Linked DNA regions of Alligator mississippiensis. The protein of the gene in region 1 purifies or fractionates together with the protein of each later gene. This does not show direct contact. Links are inferred from orthologs where the notes say so. Each region holds a gene or a part of one and is shown in the gene's direction. Other genes may lie near its edges.

The links.
Region 2: the proteins of FBL (region 1) and DDX24 purify together in Homo sapiens (affinity purification with mass spectrometry; 3 studies listed by BioGRID and IntAct, with this or other methods). This does not show direct contact. The link is inferred for Alligator mississippiensis from reciprocal best matches to the Homo sapiens genes FBL and DDX24.
Region 3: the proteins of FBL (region 1) and RRP9 purify together in Homo sapiens (affinity purification with mass spectrometry; 3 studies listed by BioGRID and IntAct, counting the BioPlex papers as one, with this or other methods). This does not show direct contact. The link is inferred for Alligator mississippiensis from reciprocal best matches to the Homo sapiens genes FBL and RRP9.
Region 4: the proteins of FBL (region 1) and DCAF13 purify together in Homo sapiens (affinity purification with western blotting; 3 studies listed by BioGRID, with this or other methods). This does not show direct contact. The link is inferred for Alligator mississippiensis from reciprocal best matches to the Homo sapiens genes FBL and DCAF13.

The regions. Positions count from the first base shown.
Region 1 is NC_081838.1:29,164,506-29,171,704, reverse strand, and holds the start of FBL (rRNA 2'-O-methyltransferase fibrillarin), read left to right. Parts: upstream 1-4,199; 5' UTR 4,200-4,215; coding exon 4,216-4,297; intron 4,298-4,769; coding exon 4,770-4,904; intron 4,905-5,231; coding exon 5,232-5,372; intron 5,373-5,511; coding exon 5,512-5,606; intron 5,607-5,981; coding exon 5,982-6,152; intron 6,153-6,253; coding exon 6,254-6,386; intron 6,387-7,081; coding exon 7,082-7,194; intron 7,195-7,199.
Region 2 is NC_081825.1:277,182,183-277,190,017, reverse strand, and holds the start of DDX24 (ATP-dependent RNA helicase DDX24), read left to right. Parts: upstream 1-4,816; 5' UTR 4,817-4,903; intron 4,904-5,048; exon of another isoform or gene 5,049-5,142; intron 5,143-5,638; 5' UTR 5,639-5,726; coding exon 5,727-5,744; intron 5,745-6,598; coding exon 6,599-7,301; intron 7,302-7,835. UniProt on the Homo sapiens protein: ATP-dependent RNA helicase that plays a role in various aspects of RNA metabolism including pre-mRNA splicing and is thereby involved in different biological processes such as cell cycle regulation or innate immunity.
Region 3 is NC_081835.1:46,777,665-46,785,121, reverse strand, and holds the start of RRP9 (U3 small nucleolar RNA-interacting protein 2), read left to right. Parts: upstream 1-4,445; 5' UTR 4,446-4,483; coding exon 4,484-4,573; intron 4,574-4,660; coding exon 4,661-4,746; intron 4,747-5,394; coding exon 5,395-5,513; intron 5,514-7,457. Other genes in the region: protein mono-ADP-ribosyltransferase PARP3, read right to left, coding at 840-875. UniProt on the Homo sapiens protein: Component of a nucleolar small nuclear ribonucleoprotein particle (snoRNP) thought to participate in the processing and modification of pre-ribosomal RNA (pre-rRNA).
Region 4 is NC_081826.1:36,562,351-36,569,293, reverse strand, and holds the start of DCAF13 (DDB1- and CUL4-associated factor 13), read left to right. Parts: upstream 1-3,930; 5' UTR 3,931-3,990; coding exon 3,991-4,060; intron 4,061-6,943. Other genes in the region: SLC25A32 (mitochondrial folate transporter/carrier), read right to left, coding at 630-715, 1,787-1,937, 3,661-3,838. UniProt on the Homo sapiens protein: Part of the small subunit (SSU) processome, first precursor of the small eukaryotic ribosomal subunit.

The DNA.
Region 1 (7,199 bases):
CTCAACCACTGGCCTAGCTGGGATTGGGGCCTGACCAGGCCCTGTACAGATCCCTGGGCCAGAACCAGCCCCATGTGCAGCTGGGATCAGAGCCCACCATGCTGGACTCTGAACAAATGTGTAGTGAGGGAAGATCCTGGAGGATCCCACTAGAACTAGGGGTCCTGGCTCTTTGTCCAGGGTTAGCTGTCATAGCATCATAGAACATGAGGGTTGGAAGGGACCTCAGGAGGTCACATCGAGTCCAACCCCCTGCTTTAAGCAGGACCAGCCCCAACTAGATCATCCCAGCCAAGGCTTGTCTAGCTGGGTCTTCAAAACCTCCAAGGATAGAAACTCCACCACCTCTCTGGGTAACCTGTTCCAGTGCTTCACCACCCTCCTAGTGAGAACATTCTTCCTAATATCTAACCTCAACTTCCCTCTCTGCAACTGGAGCCCATTGATCCTCATTCTGTCGTCTGCCCCCACTGAGAACAGTCCAACTCCATCCTCTTTACAACCCCCTTCAGGGAGTTGAAGGCTGCTGTCAAATCCCCACTCAGTCTTCTCTTCTCTAGACTAAATAAGCTCAGTTCCCTCAGCCTCTCCTCATAAATCATGTCTCCCAGCCCCCTCACCGTTCTTGTTGCTCTCCACTGGACTCTCTCCAATGTGTCCACATCCTTTCTGTAGTGGGGGACCCAAAATTAGACACGGGACTGCAGATGTGGCCTCACCAGTGCTGAATATATTAAGGGGAGAATCATTTCCATCAATCTACTGGCCACACTCCTACTAATGCAGCCCGGGAGGCCATTAGCTTTCTGTCCTAACTCTTTGCCTCTCTCTCTATTTTCTGTCCCTTCTCTGTGGTGTGAGACAGTAGCACCATCCAGTCCTTTTGTCTCAGAAGGTTTCTTTTCCCTCCCTCCTCTGCCAGCGTTGTGGGGTCCTGAACCACCCCTCACTCCTTTCTGCTGTGGTCAGTGGCTCACTACATTCCTGCTTGCAGATAGCCTGATCCCAGGAGCAGTTCAGTCTGAATGCCAGCCACCAGCAAGTGAGAGAAGACAGCTGGTGACCAAGGGAGTTGAGACATGCCAGCCAACAATCACACCCAATGCTATGAAGGAAAGAACAACCGAGCCATGACTCAGTTTCCCAGGTCTCTACTCCACTGCCCAGGAGATTGTTCTCTCACAGAAAAGCATGTGAATACAGAAATTTGAATCTGAACTGTATCAAACTCCTCCACACCAAAGTGGAGTGGATGGGGTGGGAGTCTGGAACGTGCCCTAAGGACGGATTCTGAAGGGCCTGAGGCCTCACCACCTGGCAGCAAGTGTGTCCATGTATTCTCTGCTTTATGGAGCTGCTCTTGCTCACATTGCCAGATTGATAATATCCCAATAAAGCGGTGCACGGTTCAGAGGAACTTGCTTTGGATTTTCTTGTACTTCTCCGGATACACTCAAAGCCCCGAGAGTTATCCTGGTTGCGAAACTGGGAGTTCATTGAGTATTCTGCAACAGAAGAATCATTTTAGGATTTTCTTCATAGTCTAGAAATGAGTGAAAGTGAAGAGCTTTCTTTTTCCAAGGGGGCCCTGGAGTCTAACGAGAGGTACCTTTCAAACGAGGAAGCCTGGAGGTAACAGAGAAGGGCCTAGAGTCTAAAGAAAGTTGGGAACCATTGAACGAGTGCATCGACCGGGTCAGTGTTTCATAGATTCATAGATGTTAGGGTTGGAAGGGACCTCAGTAGGTCATCAAGTCCAGCCCCCTGCCCTGGGCAGGAAAGAGCGCTGGGGTCAGACGACCCCAACTAGGTGCATGTCCAGTCTCCTCTTGAAGATAGGGGAGAGCACCACCTCCCTTGGAAGCCCATTCCAGATTCTGGCAACCCTAACTGTGAAGAAGTTCTTTCTAATGTCCAGCCTAAATCTGCTCTCAGATTTCAACTGAACTCTCTTCAGTCAGTCGGAGGGCACTGCTCTTTGAGGATCCCGAACTCTTCCCTGGAATAGTGATCTCATGCTGTTGGATAATTAATTAAAGGGGAATCAGGCTTAGGTTATTATTTTGTATGCTCAAGCCTGGGGGGGGGTCTCAACGGATGATCTGGAAGGTCCTTTGGGGAATGTAGCAATGATGTTTGGATCACAGAAGCCAACAGCTGGACTTTCTCCCTGGCTATATTATGCAACTCTTGGCCTGGCGCTCTGCTGCATATTGGACCAATCATTGCAAGTCTTTGGCTGGGCTCCACTTTAGCAGGAGCTATTCAAAGAGCTGCCCAGACTCGGTAGTGGTGTAGAAGTATGGACACATGACATCTCATCCCTTAACCCTACCCTGCCTTGCTTATGTGGTGGGAGGAAACTCCCTAAAGTTTGTTATTTAGCTGTAATAGGTATCAGACAACGCGGGTAAAGAATTGACAGCTATTTATTTGTTCGAGCAAAGATCATAAAGCCAGCAAAAGGCAAAATGGCCCCCCCTAAAGGGTGGGGCAATTTTTTATACTTTTTATAACAAGGCAAGACTACAGGGTTAATAAAAGCAATACTTACTTGGGTGGTGCTTCACAAATCTTTATAACAGCATATTTTTATTAAGCTGAACTAGCATTTTTTAAAAGCTAAAAGTTAAGTAACAGTAACATTATGATACGTTAGCAAGAATTTGCAGTGGTAGATGCTTTTTAAGGACACGATCACTGTATTTAGAACAATGACTTTTTTGTCTTATCTTGTTCCTTGCTGTAGCTGATTTTACAGCACAGACACAGATTCACTTGCTGCATTTTACTCAGAAAATGCTTAACACAGTTAAAATGATTACTTGACACAAGTAAAGGCTTAGCTATCATTCTGCCTTGTGGTTAGCGGCATTGCTAGGCCACAGGTCATGCCTTATATTCAGCTGCAAAGCTAATACTTCTTAATAATCTAAATTATTGCTAACCTAACAGTATGCTATCAGAAAACTATTCTCTTTCAGGGGAGTAACAAACATGCTCACTACACGGTAGACAAATGCCATCAACTCCTACGTTGTGGTAACTGCCTTGAATCCAACCAGAAAGCAGAGCAGCCGATGGGGTAGGGAGCACAGGGCAGGGAGCAGAAAGCAGAGCAGTGGAAGGGGCAGGGGGCGTAGGGCAGGGAACAGAAAGTAGAGCAGCGCGTGGAGCAGGGAGCGCAGGGCAGGGAGTGGAAAGCAGAGCAGTGGATGGGGCAGGGAGCACAGGGCAGGAAGCACACAGCAGAGCAGCTGATGGGGAAGGGAGAACAGGGCATGGAGCGGAAAACGGAGCAGTGGAAGGGGTAGGGAGCACAGGGTGGGGAGCAGAAAGCAGAGTGGACAGACCCGACACCATGTGATGTCACAGAGAGGGCTGACATCACATGCGAACGGCACAATGTCACAGCTGATATGGGAATCTGACATTGGGCTGAGAGCTGAGTACATGGGACATAGCAGAGACCCGATGCCGTGTGACATCCCAGAACTGATGTCATATGGCAACGCAGAGAGAGCTGATATCCCAAGAAATATTTGATGTCACGTGATACCCAACAGCTGATGGCATAGGACATAACAGATCTGACGCCACCTGACACCGCGGAGAAAATGGCCTTCCCCAAGAGACCTTTCTTTCATCCTATGACATCACAAGGAGAGGTGACATCACAAGAGACACCTGACATCGTGGGACATCCCAGAGAGCTGACACCAGAGAAGTGATGTCACAGGACACTGCAGAGAAAGCTGCCTCTTCTGACAGAACTTTTGTCCTATGACATCACAGAGAGAGCTGACATCACAAGAAACATCAGCTATCATGTGACATCCCAGAGAGCTGACCTCACGGATCTGACGTCCTTGCATGACACTGCCTTCCCTCAGCCACCTTTCACCCTGTGACATCACAGGAGACACCTGACCTCCCCCAGAGAGCTGACATCAGACAGCACAGATCTAAAGTTGAGAAAAACTTTCATCCTGTGACGTCACGGGGAAGGCTAACCTCACAGTCTAGCACCACGTCACACCCCAGAGCGGTCCAAAGACAAATTACTTGACGTCACAGGGAGAGAGAGAGACAAATGTGACGCCACAAAAATCGCCCCCCCTCCCCCGCCCCGCAAGCACGTCCTCTGGTCTTTCCGCTGACGTCACCGCGGGCCGCGAAGCCAACTTCCGGTGTGGGCGCTCCGGGCGCCCGCGCATGCGCATCGCGCCCCGCGCCAGCCAGCACCGAATCCAGCGTGGTCCGGCCCCGGGGAGCGCACGTGGGAGCATGAGGCCCGGTGAGCGCGGGGCGGGGGGGGCGGGTCCTTGCAGCTGCTGCCGGGGGGGGAGCCCCCCCACGCGATCCCGGGACGCCTGCCTTCTCAGCCTTGCGGGGGGGGACTGTAGCTGGGCAGCCCCCCCAAGCTCGGAGCCCCCTATTCACTGGGGGCAGGACTCCGGGGTTCCGGGGGGGGGGCTTGGATCAGGTTGGGGTGGGCAGCAGACTGAGGGTGTGTGGGGGGATAACACCCCCCAGCTGAGCCCCTCCCCCCCAGTAAGGATAGTTGATGGGGCTTGGAGGTGGTGGGGTACTGGGGGGGTCCTTATATGTCTGGGAAGTCAAAGGGGCTGGGGGCATGTGGGGCAGGTGACATTGGGGGGACCTAGGAGTTGAGGGGGGAGCATTGGGGAGGGGGGCTTGCGTGAGGGATGGACTTGGTGGGGGGGAGGGGGGCATGTCTGACCTCCCCCCCTCCTTTCCACCCACAGGTTTCAGCCCCCGTGGGGGACGCGGCGGGTTCGGGGACCGTGGAGGGGGACGCGGCGGGTTCGGGGACCGTGGAGGGGGACGCGGCGGGTTCGGGGACCGTGGAGGGGGACGCGGTGGCTTCCGGGGAGGCAGAGGTGAGTTACATTCTCCCCCATCCACTCCTGGTTCGTGCTGGGAGAATCTGGTCAGCTGTCCCATCAAGCTTTGGGGCAGAGGGCCAGGCTCAGGGGTTGCCCTGCTGTGGGACTCTGCTGCCCCCTCTCGTTTTCATCTTAGCCAGGCCCCACCCCACACTTCCTGTCCCAAACGGCTCCCCCTGCCCCTCCACTTCCTGTCCCAAAAGGCTGGGACCCCATTTACTATCCTTACTATCGCAAAAGACTCCCCCGTCCACACTCCCCTACTTGCTGCAGGGTCCTGCCCACACTGGACCACATCCTTCTCCCCCTTTTCTTTCCCAGGTGGCAGTTTTGGCCGAGGAGGTGTTGGCGGCCGAGGAAGAGGAGGGCCTGGCCGGGGCGGCCGTGGTGGGGGGCGGGGTGGGGGCCGGGGGGGCTTCAGAGGGGGCAAGAAGGTGACAGTGGAGCCCCACAGGCACGAAGGTACTGGAGTCTGGGGCAGGGGCTGGCGCTGGGGGGTAGGGACACCTTGGCGGGGCTTGGGTTGGAGCCTGGGGTGGGTGGGACCATGGGGGGGTGCTATTCTGGCTCTGACCCCCTCCCCATTCGTAATCCCTTCTAGGGGTCTTCATTTGCCGGGGCAAGGAAGATGCACTCGTGACCAAGAACCTGGTGCCGGGCGAGTCAGTGTATGGGGAGAAGAGGATTGCGGTGGAGGTACGCAGAGCCTGGGGGGGAAGGGGATCAAAGGCGGGTGGAGGTGTCTGGATGGGAGTGTCAAGAGGGATGTGGTGGGGATGGGGATCAGGATGGGGGCATTGGGGTAGGGGGAGGTTTGAATGGTGGTGTCGAGGGGGCTGGTTCTGGGAGGGGGGCCCCCAGTGGTTATGTGGGGGGCAGAAAGGCTAGGCTACTGGGTCCCAGAGGGCACTGGGCACACCACTTCCAGGGGCCGATCCAGGAGGCATCTTGGTACCCAGGAGTCCAAGCTGGGGTGAAAGGGCCCTCAGAAGGCCCCAGGGGTTGGGGAAAGGTTTGAGCAGACTCCCTCCCCCCCAGCCCTGATTTGTTCCCTCTCCCACCGCTGGGCAGGATGGCGAGGCCAAGGTGGAGTACCGGGCCTGGAACCCCTTCCGCTCCAAGCTGGCAGCCGCCATCCTGGGGGGCATCGACCAGATCCACATCAAGCCGGGCGTCCGTGTGCTGTACCTGGGCGCTGCCTCAGGCACCACCGTCTCCCATGTCTCGGACATTGTGGGCCCCGTAAGTACTGGGACCCCCTACCCTGGATGGGGGGGGGGGGGGAGGCGAGGGGGCAAAAGGGATTACCCCCCCCTCCAGCTTAACCCCATGCGCCCCCCCAGGAAGGCCTGGTCTACGCTGTGGAGTTCTCCCACCGCTCCGGCCGTGACCTCATCAACGTGGCCAAGAAACGCACCAACATCATCCCCGTCATAGAGGATGCCCGGCACCCCCACAAATACCGCATGCTGATTGGTGAGTCCCCCCTAGGTCCCCTCCCCCCCTTGACTCCTCCTACCTCCCCCTGCCAGTCGTTCTCCCCTGGGGTCCGGCTGCACTCAGGGGGGCCCTGCCATTGGCTTTCCCCGGGGCAGAGGGGTGTCCTGGGAGCCCCCAGACTCCAGAGTCCTCTGTTGCTGTAGTGAAAGTCTAGCTGGTCTTCGGGTCTTTGTACTGGGGATCCTTGAGACCCCCTTCCCCCACCTCCCCCTGGACACTTGCGTTCTCTGCAGCCACTGCTGAAGCCTGACCAGGCACGGGGTCTTTGTATTGGGGCTCCCTGGGAGCCCCCAGACTCCTGGATTCTCTCCTGCTGCTAAAGTTCAGTCGGGCATGGCATCTGCCAGTCGGGGCTCCTAAGACCCCCCTGGATGCCTGGATTCTCTGCAGTCGCTGTTGAGGCCTGGCCAGGCTTGGGGTCGGCCTGTCAGGGCTCCTCTGGGGGCTCCAAATTCCTGGGTTTTTCCTGCTGTTACTGAGGCTCGTCTGTGCACAGGGTCTTCCTACCCGTGCTGTTCAGGGACCTGCCTCTCCCCTGACAACTGGGTTTCCTTTCCCAGTGCTGATATCACAAGACAGGTGGAGTTGGGGGGGGGTGTAGTTGATTTGCTGGGGGATCACAGCGTCCCCTGATCTCTGGGTCATGACTCACAACCATGCCCCCCCTCCAGGCATGGTGGATGTGATCTTTGCCGATGTGGCGCAGCCTGACCAGTCCCGTATTGTCGCCCTCAACGCGCACAACTTCCTGAAGAACGGCGGCCACTTTGTTATCTCCATCAAGGTAAT
Region 2 (7,835 bases), on another chromosome or scaffold:
AATGTCTTATTCATATTGCATGGAAGATTTTTTTATACATCTACTAGGTGGACTTTGAACATTTTTTTACAAAACAAAATCTTTGCTGTAGATAAACAGATATAAATAAAAATGTATTGTTCTCTTCTCTGTGTGGCAAGTGTGATGGGCTAGCTGGTAGTTATTTGGCCCAGGGGTTTTGAAAGGGATGATTGGAGGGCTTGGGATTCCCTTTCCTCACCAATCAAGCTCAAGACTCCTCCTCCATGTCCCCTGACTGGCACCTCGGGTCACCTGGAGGGGGATAAAAGGGGCAGCGCAGCTGACTCAGGGAGACCAGTGAGGGACCACAAGGAGGGAGTTTCAAAGAGCTGGCCCAGGGGAGCAGGAGCAGTTGCCCCAGAAAAACCTGAAGGAGTGGGACCTGCAGGCAGCAGTTGGACCCTAGGCAGTGTGACGTGCAGCCAGCAGGAGAGGCTCCCTGCTGGGCTCCAGGATCCCCCTATGAGAGGCTGCAGCCAGCAGGAGAGGTTCCCCAGCTCCAGCAAGAAGCTGAGCAGTGACCCGAGAGGTTCATAGCTCTGCTTCCAGATCCTCCAGCGAGAGGCAGGGCAGCTTGACATGAGGTAGGGGCTCCTGGAAGGTCAAAACCCCTAGCAGCTTGAAGCTGTCTTAGCACTGGTGGCTGTGTGGTAGCGTTTCTACCTACCATGTAGGATGTCTAAGTTCATGTCCTAGCTGGGTCAAGTAGGGATGAGTGAAGTGACAGGGGAGAAATTCTTGTCACAGTGGAAGGGGGTCATTGTATTTATCCCTCTTTTCACCCCTCCAGCTACCTATGCCCTATATCTCTTGTTATTTGGTGTTTTGTATTTTGTGCATTTTATATTTTGCCAACCAGTATTGTTTGTTGTGCTGTTTGTGTTTTATACTTTGTTAAACCTGTCTTTTGCCAACTGGATGAATATGTCTATGAATGTAAATGCCTAACCTTTATTGAACCTGCCCCCTCGGGACATTGTACTGTTCCCTATACCCCCTGGTTTATATATATATTATGTTCCCACTACTGTTTTTCTCATTAAAAGGTATATGGTAACGTCCCCACTGGTGATCTGGCTCTGCTGTATAGGGGAAGGAGGGTCCCTATACCTCACACAGCTCTCATGCACCAGCTGTGATCCCTTCAATTGGAAAGGGGGTATGTCTTGAAGTACTGCCTGCGTTACACAAGTTTTGCATCATATCCCCTGAGTCAGTGGTGTTCTCAACCTTTTGATTCTCTGGGAGGGATGAGTGGTGCAGGGTCGCTCCATGAGCCCAATCAGGTCCTGGACACCAGGATTTGGTCCTACACCACTCTGGCCCTGTGCTGGAAGATCAGGCCCAGTGTGCCTCTGCTTTTGTCCCATGCTGCCAGATGAGGCTCTGCACTGCTCCAGGCCTGCAGGTCTCTCTTTTGCCTTATGCTGCTGGATCAGGCCCCACACTGCCTTTGGCCAGTCCCTGTGCACATGGATGAGCCCTGCACCGCCTTGCCAACCCATGAGCCAAGACCGGGCCTGACACCACCTCCACTTGACCCCCATGCTGCCTCTGGCCAGCCCCTGGGCCCCAGGATTGGGCCCTGCATAGCCCCAGCCCTGCATACCTGGACTGGCCCCACGCACCTGATCTAGCCTACAGGATCACACTGTCTAGCCTGTGGGTCTAGAAAAGTGGCAGCAGGGAAGGGGCAATTAATGCTGCCACTACTCCCCCACCACAAAATTTTAGGACCCATGTAGACAGCTGCAAGTCGGATGACTCAGTTTTGTGGGCAGATTTGGCCTGCTGACCAGGGGTTCAGCACCCCAACCCTAAGTTATTGTTTAGGTGCATATGAATGCACAAAAGATACAGACTGCACTAGGTTGGAAAAATGTGTCTTTTTCAGGCTTCTTATTTAGCTTTTGTAGCAGGCTCACCTTTCAGAGCTTGGGTTTAGTCCCAGGCTTAAGATCCTGTTTTGATTGGTAGAGCCCATCCACCGATCAGGAGGCATCAGGATAAATAAAGTCATGCCCCTTTCCTGAGGGGAGGGGGAGAGGAGCTCTCCCAGACTTGATAAAAGACTGTAAACTGCCAGGTCTGGAAGACTTTGGGGTGGAGCTCTGGAGTGTATAAAAGGAGCTGCATGCCCACCACGACTGGCAGATGTAGTGAGGGACTCAAGAAGAGTAGAGCCAAGGAAAGCTGGGGGAGCTCTCCCCCAGCAGGCAATAGGCCCAAGGCTCCTGAAGCCGCCACTGGAGAAGCAGCCTTGGGAGCAGTGCGAGACTGCTCAGGCTGTTGATGGTGTGCGAGGACAGTGTGGGAAGACCTGGCCCCAGGAGCGGTATGAGACTGCTCGGGCCCATCACGGTGTGTGGTTTGGTGCACGGAGCCCAGGCTTTGGGATCCTCAAGTGGCAGCTCAAGCCTGCATCCCTGGCAGGGCCAGCGGGCTATGCAGTGCACAGGGCAGTGCACGGGGCAAAGGCCTTGGGGCTGCAGTGAGGTGGCTCAGGCCCCATCTCCTGACAAGCAGCCAGGTCCCATGGTGCACAGGGCAGCACATGGGCCTGAGCCTTGGGAGAAGCAGAGGCTGCTTGGGTTAGCCACCTAATGTGAGGAGGGACGGACGGAGCCTGAAGGGCCTGGCCTATGCTAAGAGAGCCCTCAGTACTGAGCCAGGGCACGGGGAAATGGTAGTGCTGTAGCGTAAGACCCAGCACCCAGGAGCCAGCAGTGGTAGTGCAGCAGCTGAGAGGAGCTGAGCCCTCGGTGCCCAGAGCGGGGCACAGGGTAGGGAGGAGCCCAGCAGTGCAGGAGAGGCGCTTCAGCAGAGGAGACCCTATCAACCTGTGCCGACCACCACCACCTGAGGGAGCGTGAGTCATTGGGCCCTTGGGTCCCACAAGGGAAAGACATTTGGGGCAGGCAAACCCATAGAAGGGGCTGGGTGAGTAGTCCCCCAGCTAGTCAAGGCCCTAAGGGGAGGGGCCCCTGGTGCTTCCTGGACACCCCCCCCCCAAGGGACCCCATTGGAAGGAGGACTATCTCTTGCCATAGGTCAGGGACTACATTACGGAATAGGTGTTATTAAGATTGTTCATGTTGTTGAGAGAGAGATTGAGCAGGATTGCTCTCCAGTGCCCTCACTGTTGGACTTTGTTGATATTGTTGCTGTTCTGCTTTGTTGTTATAGTGGTATTGAGTGCTGATTGGGAACAGTGTTGGGACACAGTGCTGATTGGGATGCTGTTCCCAATAGTGCTGATTGTTGATGGTTGTTAATAATATATATCATTATCCCTCCTATTTGTGTTTGTATTATTGTTGCATAAGCTTAGGGTCAGGCTATAGATCTAGAGCTGGTGAGAGCAAGCCCCCACCTCTTTCCCCAGGGCTGGTTCTGCCTTGCACTTGATTAAGCTCCTGCCTCAGACAGCCGGTTGCACTAGACACCTTCCACAGGGCCCTTCCGGCCCCTCTGCATGGTGCTGTTACTCCAGTCCCACAGCACCCAGGCCCCAGGCACCTGCTGTAACTAAGCGGCTCCTTCCCATGCTCCGCCCTTGCGACTGAAGAGAACCTGCCAAGCCTTGATCCCACACAGCATTGCCAGGACTTAAATACGAAATTATCATATTGGAAGCTCAAAACTATTGTATCTTCTGAAAAACCATCATACCCTGAAAAAAATGTAGATAAGTATGTAAATAAGTCTTATTTACTTTATATTGCTCACTGTAACTAGCCAGCGAGGTGAGAACTGGGTCATCAAAGCAGAAGTATTTATTTCAAGGCAAGCAGTGAAAAAAGTCCCAAAAACTGGAATGGTGATGGGTGTGTGGGTACATGGTGTGAACTCTGTTCAACTTTCAAAGTGTGTTTTGGTTTGCTACAGGCACTGTTTCTCTCTCTCTCTCTCAGCATTTTTGCAAAAAACAAAACCAAACCTGAAAGTTGGTTAAGAGTCTGAGAGCGACTTGGGTTTTGCATATGCTGCATCAATTAATCGCCTCAAAAGTTATCCGACATGCAGGTTGTAGTCATATTGGTCTAGAGGCAAAAGGAACTGAAGCTTGGGAAGTTATATTTTTATCAGACCAACTAGACACTTGCAAACAAAGTATTGTATTTATCTGAAAGCTTTTGGGCACACCCACCCTTCATCATTTATTTTTTTTAATGAAAAGTTCATAATTTTACAAGTAGGATGCATTTTATCACCTGAATTTTTAACAGGAGGCTCCTACCATTGTTCGAGCAAATTTGCGTCTCCCAGAGCACAGGAACACTAATACCTCGCCACTTAAACTCCTGCCTAGAAGAGCTTTCCATTCTCCTGTGAACTATCAAACACATAACCTGAAGCAAACATGCCTCTACATCCAGCTTGCACCAGGCAGCTTTGAGGTGAAAAGACTGTTTCAACTTTTCCCTGTGCATCGCCTGTACAAGGTGAACTTTTCCAAGCAGGAGACTCCACCACACCTTCAGCTCTCCTGAGAAATATGAATTTCCATTTCTACCTAGAACTTCGCCACTCTCTGCTCTCTCCTGCCCTGTGCATGGGAACGGGTGAGCGTGCCCGAAAGCTTGCAGATAAATGCAGTCGTTTGTTTGCAAAGAGCTAGTTGATCTAATAAACGATATCACCTCTTCCATGAGTTTCGACACCTTTTAATATTAACTATCGTGCACGGGTTGAAAAGATGATACAAAGACAGTCATTACCGCGCGAGGGACAACGCCGACCGCACGAGCACGGCCCGAACCCCCCACCGCCCCCCCGTCAAGCTTCCGGTCCCTCTCACCCCGAGGCCGGATGTGATGTCACGACAGTGATGGCAGCCTCCAGCCCTGCGGCCACGTGGTAGGCGCCGGCGGAGGCAGCGGTGAGCGCAGGGCGCGGGAAGAGGGGAGGCCCGGCCCGGCGGCTGGGCCAGGGAAGGCGCGGGGTCCCGCTCCGAGGGCAGGACAGCGGGGCGGGCGGGCGGCTGCGAGCGCAGGCGGAGGTACCGGAGCCTGGGCCAGGCGGGGGGCGCAGGGCCCGGCCGCAGCCGCTTGGCACCAGCGGCCCCGAGCAGCCTGGCCCGCGGCGGCCTCTCGAGGTGCCCCTGAGAGCAGCTCTAAGGTTTGCAAACGTGGTTCGCAGAACAAGCGCAGAGACTGCCGCAGGAAGCGGAGTGTTCACTACGTTGTTAGTTTGTGTTTTTTGTGGCAGAAGATTGGGTCTGTTAGCTTTGCATACTAGAAAAAACCAAGTCGAAACCACTGTTGTCAACTCTTATGAGTTTACGCTTTGGGAATGTGAAAAATTTAGCTCTTTCTTTTATCTATATTTGTGTATGATTTGTATAGTGTGTGTGAAAGAGATGAGTTTTTCACATTCCCAAAGCGTAGACTTTAAGAACAACAACAATCATGAGAGTTGGCAACACTGCAAAACTGAGAGCTGGCGGTTACCAAGGGGATGAGTGTAAGGAGGGGAAACTGGAGCTTAAAAAGCTGCTGGTTTAGAGTCGGCCTTGCCTGGTTACTTAGGTCTCTTCTGTGGAAGCTCAGATTTTTTTGTTGGTCTCCTAAAAGATATCATCTCTATTACAAGTCCTAATTGCTTTTTCCTTTAGACCAATGCACCTACAACTTGGATACCAGTGCTAACAGTAACTTTCAACCTGGCTGAAGACTCGTCCATCTCATTGCAGTCAGTGGGAGATGAGTTGTAAAGAGCATGTACCCAGTTACCATTTTGAGTAGTAATTTCTTTCTTGGTCCCTTCCTCCATGTTTAATGCTTAATTGCTGCAGATTGATGCAGCAAATCACTGCTTTTCATGGGCATGTGTACTGCCCTGTTTTTATTTGTGCATGTCTCCTGGCTATTCTTTCACCATGTTACATATGTCATTTTGGGAGTTGAGCTGGCCAGTGTGTTTAGCATTAGCCAGCCTGGAGCTCCAGTGCTACAGTTGGCATAGGCAGCCTCTGTGTGGGCCATGACAGATCAGAGAGGGGACAGATAACACCACGGCAGATAGGGCAGGAAGAAGACAGCAGAGCAGGAGATGAAGCAGAGTAAGGGGATTGGACTGGCCATTGGAGAGTGTACAGAGCCCACATAAGAGCCCAGTATAAAGCTGTAAATCCAAGGTTTCCTTCCCATGCTCCCGCCAAAAGACCTTTCAGCACAAAGTGCTAAAGGGTCATGGTTAACAAAACGCACAACAGAGCTATGCGATGGTTTGTCATCAGGGTTTCTTTACTGCAGAGGTTTCCAGTGTCATTTTCAGCAAGAGGCTGATAAATGAGTAATTAAAGATTGTTTGTCAAATTGCATGCGTGCGTTTGGAGTCGCAGTTGTTCTTAAATGTGCAGATTCAAAACAAAGAGGGCCTAGTCAGTGGGAGCAGGACCAAGCCCATAGACTAAACTTCAGAGAAAACTCTAGTTAAGACTTGTGTCCCATTAGCTTTACACATAGATGGCATTATGCACCATCTGCAGTGCAGTGTTTATGCTATATGTTATATGAATCTAGATACCTTGTTCTGCTGATTTTTACAATGATTTCTTTTTCAATTGTTTTAGATCATGATGAAGACAAAAAAGGGAAATAAGTTTAGAGCTTCCTTTAAATCAAAACAAAGGGGTATCAAAGTAGTAGGAAAATGGAAACCTGTCGAAATCGACCCAAATCTATTTGCTGATGAGCAGCTTGGAGATCTGGTGTGCTTTGAGGAGCTTACAGATTATAAGTTAATGAATTCCTCTAAATCTGGAAAAGAAAAAGGCAAGAAGAGAAAATCTGATAGTGTCTCCGAAGAAGAGGATTCTACCATCCAAAAAAAAAAGAGAAAGAAAGGCAAAGGTTTGGGAACTAGAACAAATAAAAATGATCATTCTGAGGAGAGAAATGACGTACTCACTGATCAAGAAGATGAACCTAAAGATACCGTCACATTGACTGATTCTGAGGAAAATGAAAACAAAGCTGAAGCTGCTTTAAGCACAGAAAAAACTTTGAAGAAGAAAAAAAAGAAAGCATCTCTACCCCAGCAAGATCCTCCCCCAGCAAAATCTTCTAAGAAGCTTACAAATTGGACAACTCAGGTTTTATCTGCATCATCTGATCAAACAGCTGATGTGTCTGCATGGAAAGACCTCTTTGTTCCAAAACCAGTTCTTCAGGCCTTGAGTTCTCTCGGATTTAGTGCTCCAACTCCTATTCAGGCATTAGCTCTGCCTTCTGCAATTCGAGATCATATGGATATTCTGGGCGCTGCAGAAACAGGTACAAATGCACACAGCTAGAACATTAAGTACATTCACTGTCACCTTTCTCTCTCTCTCAAAAATGCAGTGTATTGTCATAATTGTAATCACAGGATAAGAACCTGTAAGTTACAGTCCATCCAGTGAACTAGGAAGGGAATGGCTGCAATACAGAAGATTTTACTTTACAGATGAAATATACTGCATTTGTTTTGCATACTAGGACATTCACATGTACAAAGCTTTAAATCCTCCACATAATTTTGTCTGGGGAATCAAATTATATTTGATGCACTTTTTTAAAACTAGGTCAGAGCTCCCATTACCTCAAAATCAGAGATCTGTCAGAGCCTGAGGCTCCTTTGCTGGCTTTGCAGATCCACTTAAGGAAGTGAGGGCCAATCTCTTTCACTGGTATGCCACAAGTTAAGCCCTACACCCTCCCTGAGGTACCACTCTAGTTGCCTCCCCCTGCCCAATTTTTTGCCCTATTTTCTGCTCCTTGTCCTATCTGCCCCTGTGTTCCTTAGTCTGTCCCCAGTCTACCAAGTAC
Region 3 (7,457 bases), on another chromosome or scaffold:
GTACACCAATAGAGATTTTTTTGGGCAGATACCAATAGCTGATTTTTAAGGAGGCATATCGGCTGATACCAATCTGATTTCCGATATGCAACCCAGCAGCTTGAAGAGCAGTGTCCAGCCGGTAAGTCTGTTGTAGTGCAAGAGGACGGGGAAGGGAAGGGTTGGGGGGGGGGGCAGCAGATTGAGACTCCTGTGGTGAGGGAGGGAGTGACGCAGGGGCTGTGGCAGGGCAGGGCAGGGCATGGGATGAAGCTGTGGCTTGTACAGGGGGTGCCAGGGGGGTGGCTCCTGCCACTGCAAGCACCCCAGGAGGGCATGGGGGGGGGGGGGGGGTGCCCCACGGATCTGCACATGGGGAAGGCCAGGCCAGGCTGCTCCTGCAGGCTGGGGCCAGGGGCTATGCCAGGCTCTTCCTGGAGGGGACTGGGCTGAGCTGTACTGGGGCAGGCAGCAGTGGTACAGGGAAGGAGGTTGGGGGGGAGGGTATGGCGAATTTTGGCATGGCTGCAGCACCTCCCCCACCCCCGTAGACCCTTCCCAGCACTGCTGCCACCCGCCCCAAGCACAGCCAGCCCCAGCCCCAGCCCGCAGCAGCCCTTGCCCTTGCCCCACATAGATCCAGGAGGTACACCCCCCATGCCCTCTTGGGATGTGCACAGTGGTGGGAGCTGCCCACCCCCCCGCACCTCCTGGATGAGCCGCAGCTTAGTCCTGAGCCCCACTCTGCCCCAGTTGGGCAGCACTTGCCCCAGCCCCAAACCCGCCCTCACTGCGGGGGCCTTGATCTGCCCCTCCATACGCCTTCCCTTCCCCCTCCCCTTCCACCACAACAGACTTACCAGCAGGACACTGTTCTTCAAGCTGCCAGGCTGCATTTCGGAAATCAGATCAGTATGGACCAGCAGGTCTCCTTAAAAATCAGCTATTGGTATTGGCTCCAAAAATCTGTCTCCCTTGATTGACACAACTACAAGAATGCTTTGAAGATGCTGAGCTAAAGGGTATAAAAGAGGAACAAAACAGCTAACAGGCCACACTTCAAGAATGAGAAATCATTCTGACAAGAACTGCTACCATGCCCAGCTGATCTGGTGAACAGATCAATGCCTTGAGAAGCTGACAAGACTGAGACCGCCTCTTTGGCTGTACTGGTGAGATACTAACACTTTTACAGCTAAATATACTGGACTTTGCTTTTTTTTAAGGTTCATTTAACCGTGAACAGTTGCATTCTGAATAGTCCTGAATCCCATTTCATAACTTAACAGGTGCAGCTGCCGGGGCTGAGGTCCACGTGCTCAACAAAGGGAGAACAATGCCCTCTAGTGCCTACAGCACAAGGAACCAGACATCTGCAGGCAGCTCTGTGGCAAAATCTCACTCATCCCCTCTTGTAGGCGGGGCATGCCATTGCCACTGCTGAATTTCCTGCGTGCTCTAAGCTTCCAATCCAAACAGAGCCCTGGCACTGCTGTAGGCCAACTTGTGGTGCAGTGTCACAGAGACCCTATGCAGGGGGATGCTTGCTCAGGACCAGTGCAGCCTTGCCTAGTCTCTGAGAACAACCCCTGAAGCCAGACCAGGTGTGGCTTTGAGAACAACTGAGGAGGAGTCAACTTCCCACTCCAAGACCCCCGCCTTTCAGCCTCTCACTCTCTGGTTCTCTGTGGCCCTAGCTTAACAAGATGGCATCCAGTTCCTCTTCTGAGAGAGGGGCTTTACCTTTTAATGGGAAGAACATGCATAACCTGTTTCCAGCCTTGACTCCAAGGCCAAGCTGGAGAAGTGTGGCTGAAGCAGAAGGCCCTGAGGCCTATTTCTGCATGACCATAGAACAAACCTATGCAAACATAACAACTAACTTGGTCAGCAAAGGAAGCAATCAGCATGTCCAGTTAAGCCAGTAATGACATTTAACTGAACAGAGTAAAAGGCCTGAATATTAGAAAGACTTTGAGGTAAGTCTGGACCATGGAGTCTTTCTCACTCAACTTGCCAACTCTGACCTTGATTCCTACCAAACCAGGACCCTGCTATAAAATACACTCACTTCTGCCCCTCTCTTGCATATTGCTTCCTGTGGGAAGCTCCCCTCCATTTACATGCCTCCCCTCTAACCCCTGGCTCTTTTGTTCAGCTTTTATTTTCCACTGCTCCACATCCCAGCCCCTTTATACAGACCTGGGCAAAACAGTTTGCCTAGGCCTCAGTTCCCCCCCAGGCCCCAGTTTTTTCCATCTCTATAACTGCTACAAAGTAGTACATAAAGCAGATATGTTCCATTTCAGTTGTAAGCATGCTAATAACATTTAGCGAATTATGCAAATCTATGTGGTGCCATATTTTAACCATATGTGTATGATAAAACTTAACAGAAGTTCCCAAAAAACCTCCAAGGCAGGCCAAAAGAACCAGAGTGCTCATCAGCTTTTTTTTAACCTTGTTCGTATGAACTGTTTAAAGTGCATTGGCAAGGGAAGAAGTTAATTTATGGACTACTGAGCACCACCTAGTCTAGGAAGATCCAATTAATGGCAAGACCAAATATAAGGAGGCTCCTCTGTTACATTTCTCAGTGCTAAATCTTGGCTAATTTACACCTTGCAATGACTGCTGAGGAACTGGTTTGAAATTGCTCTCAGGGGCATTGGGAACAAAGTAAGTTTTTTAAAATGTATAGTCCTTTAGCTGAGAATATAAAAATTAGACCTTCAAACACTCCAGTTGGAGACTGTCTTTTGAAATAAATGTAGCCGTTAGCCCTCTATTCTGACCTCGGACAAAACGGAGAACTGAAAAAAGCTGGGTAAAGAAGCATATGCAGTATACCTTCCTATACATCTTTCTGTTAAAAAGACTTATTGGGCCTGCACTAAAGTCTATTTTCATTTGCCTGAACAGTCTTCTAGTTAGTTAAAAGCCGACAGGCAAATGGCTCCATTTAGCAGAGTTCAACTGGTTAACAGGCTGATGATCGCTTGCCTCAAAACCAGGCTGCCCACTAACATTTAATGACTGTCCTTAGTCTGTGAGGGATATGGTGGAGGTCTTGTCCACCAAAGTGGACAATCATTTATGGCAGGGGTGGCCAACCTGCAACATACGAGTCATTAATAGCACAGACAGCCCTTCTGTGCGGTAAAAGGGAGATCAGGGAGGGGACAGACATGAGTGGAGCTAGGATTTTAAAAACAGGGGTGCAGACAGTGTGGGGAGTTCTTCCATATAAAGCAGTACTTAAGTTTTCTCCAGGTAAAGAGAAACAAGACGCTTTACTAATGTACTAGAGACGTAGGGATATATTATTCAGTTTAACATTAAAGAAAAAAACAAATATAACTTCACTGGAATGGGTTACACATTGTCTGCAGATCTCCATTGTCAGGAGCAGCTGACAGGAAGCAGCACCGCAGAAGAGGAGCTAGCTGGATTGGTGGAACAGGAAAGACCCTCAAAAAGGAGAGGGCTTTGTTCCCAATGCCCAAGGAAGAGTTTAGAAGGAAGCAGGTAGATTTTAATGAGCCATGAATTCAGCTGATGCTCTCACGGCAGCTCAAATGGAGGCGGCTGGTTTGCAATTTGGCTGGAGCAGGAATCAAGGAAGGGTGCAAGTGCACTACTGCACTGCCTCTGGAGAGGGCAGGGAGCAGAGCAGCAACCTGGGGACAGGAGGGTGCAGAGCTAATCTGTGGCCCTGCCGCGGGCAAGGCAGCCTCCACCAGCCAGCGCGACCACACTGCCCAAGATAACAGCCAGGACTCGCACTCTGATGGGGCCAGGACGCATGGCTCACATCAACCCCCCCGGCCCCAGGTCAGCTCCAGCTATCTCCAGCAGCCAGCGCCGCCCACCGTGCTCCCGCCTCCCCGGCATCGCTGGCTGAGGTGCCAGGTGAGACGATGCCCCTCAGGGCAGCAGGTGCTTCTCGACCAAACTGGGACTAGGGGCATCACTCCCAAACTGGGCACCAGCCACTGCTCAGAGCCGGGCCTGCGCCTCCAGCCAGGACTACGCACCCCAGGCCCAGGTCTCGCTGCCCCTGCCTGGGCCCAGGCCCTACTGCTCCCCGCTGCCACAGCAAGGCCGCGCCGCCCCCTGCAGGCCGCCGCAGGCTCCTGCACCCTCGCGGCACGCACTTACCAGCAGCCCGACAGAGCGCAGCGCACCTGCGCCGGAAAAAAACCCGCCCCCCTCGAGGGAGTCTCTCTGATGGCAAAGACGGTTTGGACGGACAGCGCAGGCCGCCAATAGGATATGAGGAGGCGTGGCCCAAAGGAAGCGCTATCCTATGGGGGAGGGAGGAGAGGCCGGAAAGGAAACTCAGAGAACGAGGCTAGACCGCCCGCCCCCGGCAGCTGTCCCAACCAATGGCGAGGGGGTGAGGGGCGGGGCCGGAGAGGGCTGTGCCCAATGGGAGGGCGCGGGGCCGCGGCTCGGGGCGCCACGTGCGGGTGAGCGGGGCTGGAGCGGGGCCGGGGTCGGCATGGCGGCGTCCGGCAGGAAGAAGCAGCAGCAGCAGGAGGCGGCGGCGGTGGCCGCGGCCGCGGGCGGGGCCGGGCGCAAGCGGCGCAAGGTAGGACCGGCTTGGGCGGGCTGGGGCTGGGGCCCGGGGGGCGGCTGCCCTGCCCGGCACCGCGCTGACCCCGCGCTCGGTCCGCAGCTCCCCGGCGCGGAGGAGAAGCCCCGGCAGAAGGTCGCCGCTGCCAAGCTCAACGAGGAGATCTCCAGCGACTCGGACGTCGAGAGGTAGCGCCGCGCGTCCCCGTGCTGCCGCGGGCAGGGCAGGGCAGCGCTGCGGCCCCCGGGTGGTGCCGCCAGAGAGGGGGCCCAGGCCGGGCCGTGCCCGCGCTCTTGTCCCTCTCCCCCGCCCAGGGTACACGCTGCATCCTTGGGCAGGGGCTCCGCAGGTCCCTTCCAGCCCGGCTTCTCTGCGCCCCGGCGGGAGCGTGATGTGAGAAGCCCCCAGGCGCAGGGGCGGGCGGCTCTGCCCCGAGCCCGGTCCTGGCTGCTAGCGAAGCCTGGAGAAGCAGCTACCTCCCCTGTCGAGGTTGCAGCCGGGGCTTGATTCCAGGCCGGGCTCTCGCGGGCCCTGCTGGGTGGAAGGGGGTGGAGGAGACTTTCAATGTTGGGCCTGAGCACAGGGTGCTGTGGAAATGCTTCCCCCATCAGTTTGTAACTGCTGACATGACACCTTGGGTAGAAATGTCCTCTTCCTGCATTTTAAAAAAGGCCAATGGGGATATTTATATACTTCACACAGCTGCTCTGTGCTCGAAGGTCCCTCTTGGCTGGGCATCAGGTAGCAAAGCATGTCTGGAGTACAGTCAGTATGAGTAGAGAGGGGAAAATTATTCCTGTGTGTAATTGTCCCCTTTCCTTGTCTGCTGTTTCTAGCCCTGCGTTATCTGGGAAGCGGAAGAGGGACAATGAGGCGGAAGAGGAGATCGAGGAGACAGCTCAGGAAAAGAAGCTGAGATTAGCCAAACTGTACTTGGAACAGCTTCGTCAGCAGGGTGAGCACCTGATAAGCTGGGGGGCGATGTGGATGGGTGGTGTAGGGGGTGTTAGGGGAGAGTGCGCTTAGTGAGCCGCTGTCTGGCTGTGGCTCATCCTTGGCTTATACATGGGGAAAGTGGTCTTCTGTGCTACTTGGAGATGTTGTGCTGGACTGATCTAACTTGATGAAACTTTCTATTGGAAACAGTCGGTATACAAAGATGAGGCTGTGTTCCCCAAGGATTTCTCAGTCTGAATTGTTTGATCCAAATTAATCTATGGCAAAGCATAGTTTGTTAATTCAAACTGTTAATCATGTAAAGGAAATAAGATACGGTCTCTTGTGTATTTGGTACTTCCTTCTTTGCTTACTTTCCTGAACATGGCACTTCACTGTTGTTACACAGGTATAAAATGCAAGGCTTGGTTTCTATACATCACAGCGGTTGTGCTGCGTGCGGTGCTTGAGGAATCTGAAGGGAAAGCTCTTCATAGCTATGATGTGGAGCCTGTTGTAAAACAGTCAGTATTTCTCCCTGGAACAGTCTGGCATGGAGGCACCTCTTTCTTTTCCTAGTTTCTGAGTGCTTCTCTGTCCAGTACTACATCCTCGTTCTCCCTCTCTGACCAGACCCTAGGTTACTGCACCCTGCGCATCGGCCATGACTGTCTGGGCTGTGATTTGGCATGTGTGGGTTTCTCTTTGGGAGTCTGAGTAGCAGTGAATAGACTGACCAGGTAGCTTTAAAATCCAAGTACTAGGCACAAAGCTATTCGGACAGTTTTAAAACGGCAGTCTGTGCACATATGTAATACAATCCCTTTCAACACCAGCAGCTGGCCAAAGCTTGCAGTCTTGTAGGCTCTTCTGGAGTCCAGGGTTTAGTGGCATGGTTTGCTTGCAAGAATGTAGAAGTCTAACTAAGCAGAAGGTTTTAAACCATCAGAGACGGGCTTGGAACTGTTTGCATTGGAGAGGTTTACACAGAGCTCTATCAGCTGGGGACACAAGGCTCATACCCTGTAATAAAGGTGCACTGGTATATTGGTGGCATATCGGATTGGGATTGATTAAAAAGAAAATCGATGTTATTGGCAATCGGCTTTTTTTGGCCGGTATAGCTGATAATGTCACCGATTAAATGCCCTGTATGTATGCACAGTTGCAGCATGCACGCGGCCAGGAACACAGCCTTGCAGCTTGGAGAGCAGGCTTCTGGCAATATGTCTGTGCAGGAGGGAAGGGGCATGGGTGGGGGTGCAGATCAAGGCCCCCACGGTAGGGGAGGGAGTGGGGCAGGAGCTGCAGGCAGCTCGTTTGTGGGGTGGGGCGGTGGGGCACCTCTCTGCTTCTGTGTGCACCCCTGGTAGAGTCATGGGGAACATGTACCCTTCCCCCCCAAAATATGTGCACAGAGCAAGGGCAGGCTACCCACAGCAAGGGCCTCTTCCCAGTGAGGAGGCTGGGCCAGGGCTGTGCTCAGGGTGGGGTGGGCAGGCATTGGTGGTGCTGGGAGGGGGGGGCTACAGGGTGGGCTACAGCCACCCCAAAACTCACCATAACGCACCCCTCCCAATCACTACTGCCTGGCCCCCCTCCCCCTTGGGGAAGAGGCCAATGTAACCCCTGGCCCTGAGCCCACAGTGGGCATCCTGCCTTTGCCCTGTGCCCGAATTGGGGGGGGGGGGGCATGCCCCCCCAGGGATGCACGCAGCAATGGGGAGACACCCACTCCTGTGCCCCTCTGACAAGCCACCCATAGCTCTGTCCTGTGCCCTGCCCCATTTCCTGCCTTCACTGGGTGGGCCTCCATCTGCCCCTGCCATGGTGCCGCCCCCCCCCCCCCCCCCCCCCCCATGTATGCTGGATGCTGCTTTCCAAGCTGCCGGGCTGCATATAAGCTATCAGATTGGTATTGGCCAATATGTCTGGCTAATAATCGGCCCTTGGTACTGTCCAA
Region 4 (6,943 bases), on another chromosome or scaffold:
AGGTTTACATCCTAGTTTAATACATGGCTATCAACAAAATACAGAAATCTGATTTCTTGTCTGTGGTTATCAATTTTTCATTCCTAACGCATGGTACAAGTTTCTCTACTTGAGAGGTCAGTCTAAGGAGCTTTGGAAGACCACTCCAAGTAGTGCTGCACCATACATTCCTCTTCAATATTAGATAGGCTACATGTCTAGTCCAGTGCCTATTGAAGACATTCCATTCCAATGCTGGATTTCAGTGCGTGCTGAATTAGGCCTTGGGTTGTCTTTTTTAAGGGGAAAGTGTTCAAGGTAAACTTTAACATTATAGCAAAAACTGACAACAGTTCTGCTTTTTATGCACAGCTGCTTGGTCTGGAATCTGCAATTTTAATGTATATAAATTAGCTCATTCTTGCATGGGGCTGTAAAAAGTTTTAACTGTTGCTACTGGTGAACACACACAAGGAGTTCGGCCAGCCAACCCAACATCATTAATTTATTTACATGCATTAACCCAGTGCAGCTGGACCGAAACGCTTATACTTGCCACCTGGACAAAAAACAGCACTGACAGACAAAGACAAAAAACAGCGTATGGACAGGCTAGAGGTAAATGTCAATCTTATCTGCATTTTCCTCACCAGCCTCTGCAGCTGACACTAGGTGTTCGGTTGCACTAAGACTTTCTAGCTTCTCCTCCTTCTTGTAGGCTTTGATGGCATTATAGCTGGAAGAAATGAAACAAATTTAAGTAGAGATGAGAAAAATCCAGATCACTTAGATTCAACATTAAGCAATGCCCTTACAGAGCAGAGGCAGAGGTGAACAATCTCAGATGCAATACAAATTACTGAATTAGTTTCAGGCTACTTAAAGCACAGAGTTGTGGTAGACAGCTGGGTAATAAAATATTACTGTTGATAAAAAATAGGACTGCCTCATCACATTTAAAATTGAAGAATTAGTTTGGATGAAATGCTAACAAGACAGATGTCTCCCAGCAAGGTTTTATGAAAAGGCAGTCTATACTGTCATCAGCTTTATCTGCTGAACTGGTCCTCTGGGTTAAGTAAGCCATTGAGAGGTGAGCAATATGCAGTAAGATGAGAAGTGAAAGTCAGAAAAGAATGAGGACTAGAAAACCAGTAGGACAACTTCATATAAACAAGTAACTGGTTTCTTTGATTTCCTGCTGCCCTTGAGTTAAGTAATTTACATATTAGTAAATATAAAATGCAAGTGATATGACATTGAAAAGACCCTGAGGACCAAAAGAAAAAACAACAATTACCTCAAAAAAGTAAGCTAACTTGCAAAAACAGATTTGTCCAAGTACTAAATGCTTCCAACTTTAGCAGACTAAATCATTTCAGGAGCCAAATTAATTCCCCCAAATCAGGCTAAGGCTAAGTTCTTTTCCCCCACAAGGTTTATTTATATAGCGCAGCTTCTGGCAAGATTCTTAGTGGATGAAACCATACAAACTACCAGTGCAGCTAGTTAACATTTCTGCAGCAACTTGTGCAGGCATTTGCTTTACAAGTGTGTCACGCTGCTCTACCCAGCAATTTATATTACATATAAGATATGAAACAGCAAGTGATGACTGAGGGTAAAATGTTCAGAAGTGATTTAGGTGCCTCTGAAAGTTCTGCCTATAGATTATATAGTTTGTAAAGCTGCATGAATCTTTCATAAAATGTATTTTTTATCTTTTTACCTCCCTCAAAATGAAAGTGCGACCTACAGTCCACAATCACTTTGCATAAAACATCAAAGGTTTTATGGTTCTACTTACAAGAAAAAGTACAGGCCCCAGGAAGCACCTGCCCCCCACATGTTTGGAGTAACCCCCTGGTACAGGCCACGTAGTCCTTCATGCTTCCAGACCGTGGTCAAACAGTGCAGAATCCCATTGTACTTTGGTCTAAATTCCAATCCGTCACTCACTGAATAAAAGAGAGATTACACTGGAAAAACAATGTTCTAGAAAGAGTGAAGCCAAGTGGCATAAAACTATGATGCAAATACACCTCCCTGTTTATCTTGAAGATAACATGCAGAGTTGAGGAAAGTCGCAGAGAATAAGCAAGCCTGACTAGCTGTATTCTGAAGGCACACGAGAGTTATGGTCTAAGAGCTCATTAGGAGAGTGCCTTACCCTGGGTTGAAGGAGAAGTCTGGCTGACCTGTTCCAGGTAAGCAGTCCTTTCCTACCAATCCAAGATGAACTCTACTGCTGTGTACTGCAGGCAAGTAGCAGCATTGGCTTAAAACTGCCTCCTTTTCTTAGTGCCCCACAGCTCTGTGCAATCTCTAGCCTATAACCTTTAATCTTTTTGCAGGGGGACCACAAAAATGTTATTTCAAAAGAACGTTTTTTTTTTGTTCTTTGCAGGAAACCCCCAGTTATATGCACCATGTGTCGGAGGTATAATTCTCAAAGTATCATGACCCAGTACGTTCAAAGTCAGTGTTTGTAAGTGCATTCAGGTGGTCTTCCCCCCTCCCACTGCCACTGACTGGGTCACGTGATTTAAGAAAAGAGATGCATCAAATTACTTCAACAGGAAAAAGTAAATCCTGCCCCCTTCCCACCCCACAGATGCATCTACTTTTCTCCTATTTGAGAACTACCACAGGTAACTGGTGTGGGGGGGGGTCCCCCCCCCCCCCCGACAGTGCCCAGGAGCCCGGAGTGTCAGAGAGCGCTTGCTCGGCCAACCAGAGTGCTGCCCCCCCCCCCCCGCCCAATCTGGACCAACGACGAATGGGGGGCCCCCGAGGGACTTTTGGCCCGCCCCCTGGGCCTGCCCATGGGTCTGCCCACAAATTGTGCCCCCTCCCAGACTCAGGAGGCACCAATTGCTCATGTGAACTACTTTACCCAAGTTTTCTGAGGCAGGCACGTAGGGCGCCTACAGAGCAGGGAGGCTGTGCCACCACGCTGCAATTCCAGCACATCAGAGCTGGCTTGATTAATTAAGTCTGCCGGAAAGTGGCAATTACCACACTCCAGCAGTCTCATATATTAGCGTCCCCATGCTCCAAATAGCGTGGAACGAGCTTTACATAAAGCACCCCGCCGCCGTTTTGGAGCATGAGGACGCTGATACACAAGATGCTCCGGGCGCTTTAATTAGAGCAGTTCTTGGAGCTGCTCAAATTGAAGTGTCCCCCCCAACATGTGTATAAGCAGCCTTAAAGTTTCAGCCCAATAAGGTTCAGTGAGAACAGAAATCCTGGTGCACCCTGAGCTGTGGCACTCGCTTTCGCTGCTACGATACAAGAGCTAACACTGCTGCCTACAGCATTTGTGATCCCACACCAGGAGTTTCTCGGGTCTGACTCGAGAGGGAAAAGGAAGAGGAGGTTCAGCAGGGCCTGAACCGTGAGGATGCTGTCTCTACCCACGGCGACGGGGCAGGACTACAACACGTGCACACGAGCGACTGGACCACAGCGCAGCCCCCGAGCTACCGACCGACGGCCGTGACGCTGCACCCGTGTGCGTGGCGGGCCGTGCCCGGGCTGCCCGTGGGCCGGGCCAGCTGGCGTGGTGGGGGGACGGGCCAGCCCCGAGTGGCTTTGCAGGGGAAGGGGACACGACACGGCCCGGCCCCGGCCCCGCAGAGAGAAGAGGGTGGGTTAGGAGGCGCGGCCGGGGCTCACCGGCGAAGCGGATCTTGACCAGGTCAAGCGGGTGCAGCACGAGCGTGGAGACGACGCCGCCGCTGAGCCCCGCCACCAGGCTCTCGTAGCGCACGTGCCGCAGCGGGGACTGCGCGGGCGGGGCGGACACCGCGCACGTAGAGCCCCGCGGCCCCTCCGCCTCTGCCACCGCGCTCATAGCGCCGCTGCCCGCAGCCCGCGCCCCGGAAGCGGAAGAGGAACGTCCCAAGCGGCTTCTTCCGCCCGCCGCGGGTCTGCGCCGGCTTCCGGTCACGTGGGTCCTGCGCTCCGGAAGAGTGGCGGGCCGGGGCTGCGTGCTCTCGGGCGAGGATGCGGGTGAAGGTGCTGAGCCGGAACCCGGACGACTACGTGCGCGAGACCAAGCTCGACCTGCAGCGCGGTGAGCGCCCGGCGGGGTCGCCCCCTGCCTGCCCCGCCCCGCCCCGCCACGGCCTGGCCGCGACCGCGCGCGGACTGCCGGGGCCGGGGCCGCGGCCGGGAGTGAGGCTGGAGCAGAGCAGAGCAGAAGCGGGAGAGACTCGCACCTCACCTGCCTCTGCTTCGGGTTGTGTGTGCGTACACGTGTGTGTGATGTACACATAGACACCCACACATCTATACCTACACACACATGTATATTTGTGTGTGTGTGTGTATATGTATATGTATATATATATATATATATATATATATGTGTGTGTGTATTATAGTACTTCTCCCTTAACGTCATCCCAGTTACATTGTTTCATTATTACATCGCTGATCTGCTGGAGAGCGCACTCATTTAAACTCGTGCATCATTCAGTTATAGCGTTGTTTGGCCGCCACCTGCTAGTAGGTAACTATTGTGATGTAATTGGATTTGCTTAACATCCTTTCACTTAGTTGCATTTTAACTATGACGTCAAGGCGTGGCTGTATATAAAGAGACTTGTGTCCTGAAACTCCTGCTAGGTACATACATATACATATAACGTATGTGTGGATGTGTACAGGTTTCCCTTGCTAACCATGGTTTTGAGTATCTACGCTTAATATTCTGTATACTATTTTGGCTGCCACGGTGTACAGTTTTGAGTAACTGCGTTCTGTTTTCCCATGTTGCTTTGCACTTGCATAGAGCTTGTTCTTCTGTGGATCTCGTCTGTCATTATGAAGTGCCATATGTCAAATTAAGATAGGTTCTTTGCGTAGATGTGATATCTTTTATTAAACCAACTGAGTAGATGGAAAAAAGTTATTTGCAAGCTTTTGGGCACAATCACCCTTCTTCAGGCATAGGGAGTCTCTGCTGCTAAGTGTGCTAAGAGAAGCTAAGAGTGTGACAGGATGTCAGTGAGACTGTAAATAGCTGGAAATTAGGAAGACAAAAAGGTAGAGCAGGGAAAGGGGGGTACTTGAGTAATGGAGACTGTACAGTAGTAAATTTTCAAGGAAGAAGAGAGGCTGTCTGTGAAAAAAGTAAATAGCTGGAAATCAGGAAGACAGGGCAGAAAAGGAAGGGAGGAAGGAGGGAAAGAAAAGTGTAAGAGTTCAGGTCAAGCCAAATTCCTTTCCTGACACAAAGGAATGGTCTCACAGTTCTGTCCTGTTTTTTAGAAGCGTTGTGATTGCCATATAGTGGATGAGTTCTGGTATGTAAATTTTCCCAGCTCTTCCAGAAATGATCTCATGCTTTCTATTTCTTGGTTGTCCTGTGTGTCACATGAGGGAATAATGAATCACTTAAATTTCAAGGTAATGGAGAAAATTATTGTCTCTTGTTGAAACAGATGGGAATAGACCTCCTGGCTTCTTGGTTCTGATAAATCAAAATACCTTTGACCTAATTTTAAGGAATGTCTCATAAGAATTTCAGACTGCATCTACTCATTGCAAGGGCTAAGTTAAAATTATGCAGTTGTATGTAAAGTAGCACCATAAAGTATACTACTTAGTTTTTGTATGCTTAAGATATGTGCTTTTTCTTAATATTTGCTTGCTTCTCATTCTCTGGGGAGATCCTGGCTGAGCACGTTAGTTTTCTGATGCATATGCGTGGGTTTTAGAAGACATACCCTGTTGTGTAGCACCAGTCTCAACTCTGTCTTCACAAACTGTTTAAGTGACTTTGTTATGCCTTGCATTGTAGGAAGTCAGTAACCTCATCTGTATATTGAACCCTGACAAATAAGCTAAATGGTAGGGATTTTACGGTTTTTAAAGACATTTTTTGCTTCTTCCTGTACTCATTTGTCATCTTTGTGTTTCTTCATTTAGGTGCTGTAGATAGCACTGAAGTGAATTCTTTACTCATGTGATTTTTGTCTTTATATCCAGCACAGAACACAGAAAGCAGAAATAATTATAACAAACTATCAGTATTGGAAAACCTTTTAATATTGGTTTTGTTTTGGGTCTTGTGAGCTTGCTGTTTGATGAAGGAAGGATCCTTTTAATTTTCAGTTCCCTGGTAGTTGTCATCAGGGGGCTTAACCAGCAGCCCACATAGCTGTATCATTTGGCGGGCAGGGATCCCCGAGGGTCCAGAACTTTGGTGGAGGGCGAGTGGTGGCAGTGTTCATTACCACTCCCCTGCTACCAGATGTCCTGACTCATGGGCAGCCCCAAGAGCTAGATGATGTGCCACTGCACACCAGATTGTCCTGACACAGGGGTGGACAATTATTTGGGTTGGAGGGCCACATAAGTTTTGATGAGCTCTTGAGGGCTGGGGGGAGGGGTGGGAAGATGCCAAATGATCCTTTCCAGCCCATTGGCTGCCACCAGGAGCATGGGAAGGGTGGGCTGGGCTGGACTGGACCATGCAGCATGCCAACTCCTTTGTCTTCCTGCATCCATTTCCCCTCCCCTTCCCCTCCTGCCCACCTACCTGTTGGTGCTGTGTAGTCCTGGCACAGTGGCCACCAGCACAGGACAGGGTGCAACACAGTGCGCTGAGTGGCTGTCCTACCCGCCTCCCTGTTCACTGTGATGAGCTGCTGCTGCTGCTACCTCAAACTAGGAAAGTCAGGGGCAGCTGCGCCAGACTGAGTCCCCCCAGCCCTTCGTCTATGGCCAGCACGGCCTCACCTCCTAGTGGCACTGTAGTGGCAGCAGCTTATTGTGGCGGGCAGGTGGGATGGCTACTTGGTGTGCTGCATCACTCCTCATTCTGTGTGGGTCTGGCTGCTAGTGGTCGCAGTGCCAGAACCACGCAGCGCCAATATGAAGCTGGGTGGCAGAATGGAGTGGTATAGGGCATGCGTGAGCTCTGGGTAAGCAGCAACAGCAAACACTGCCC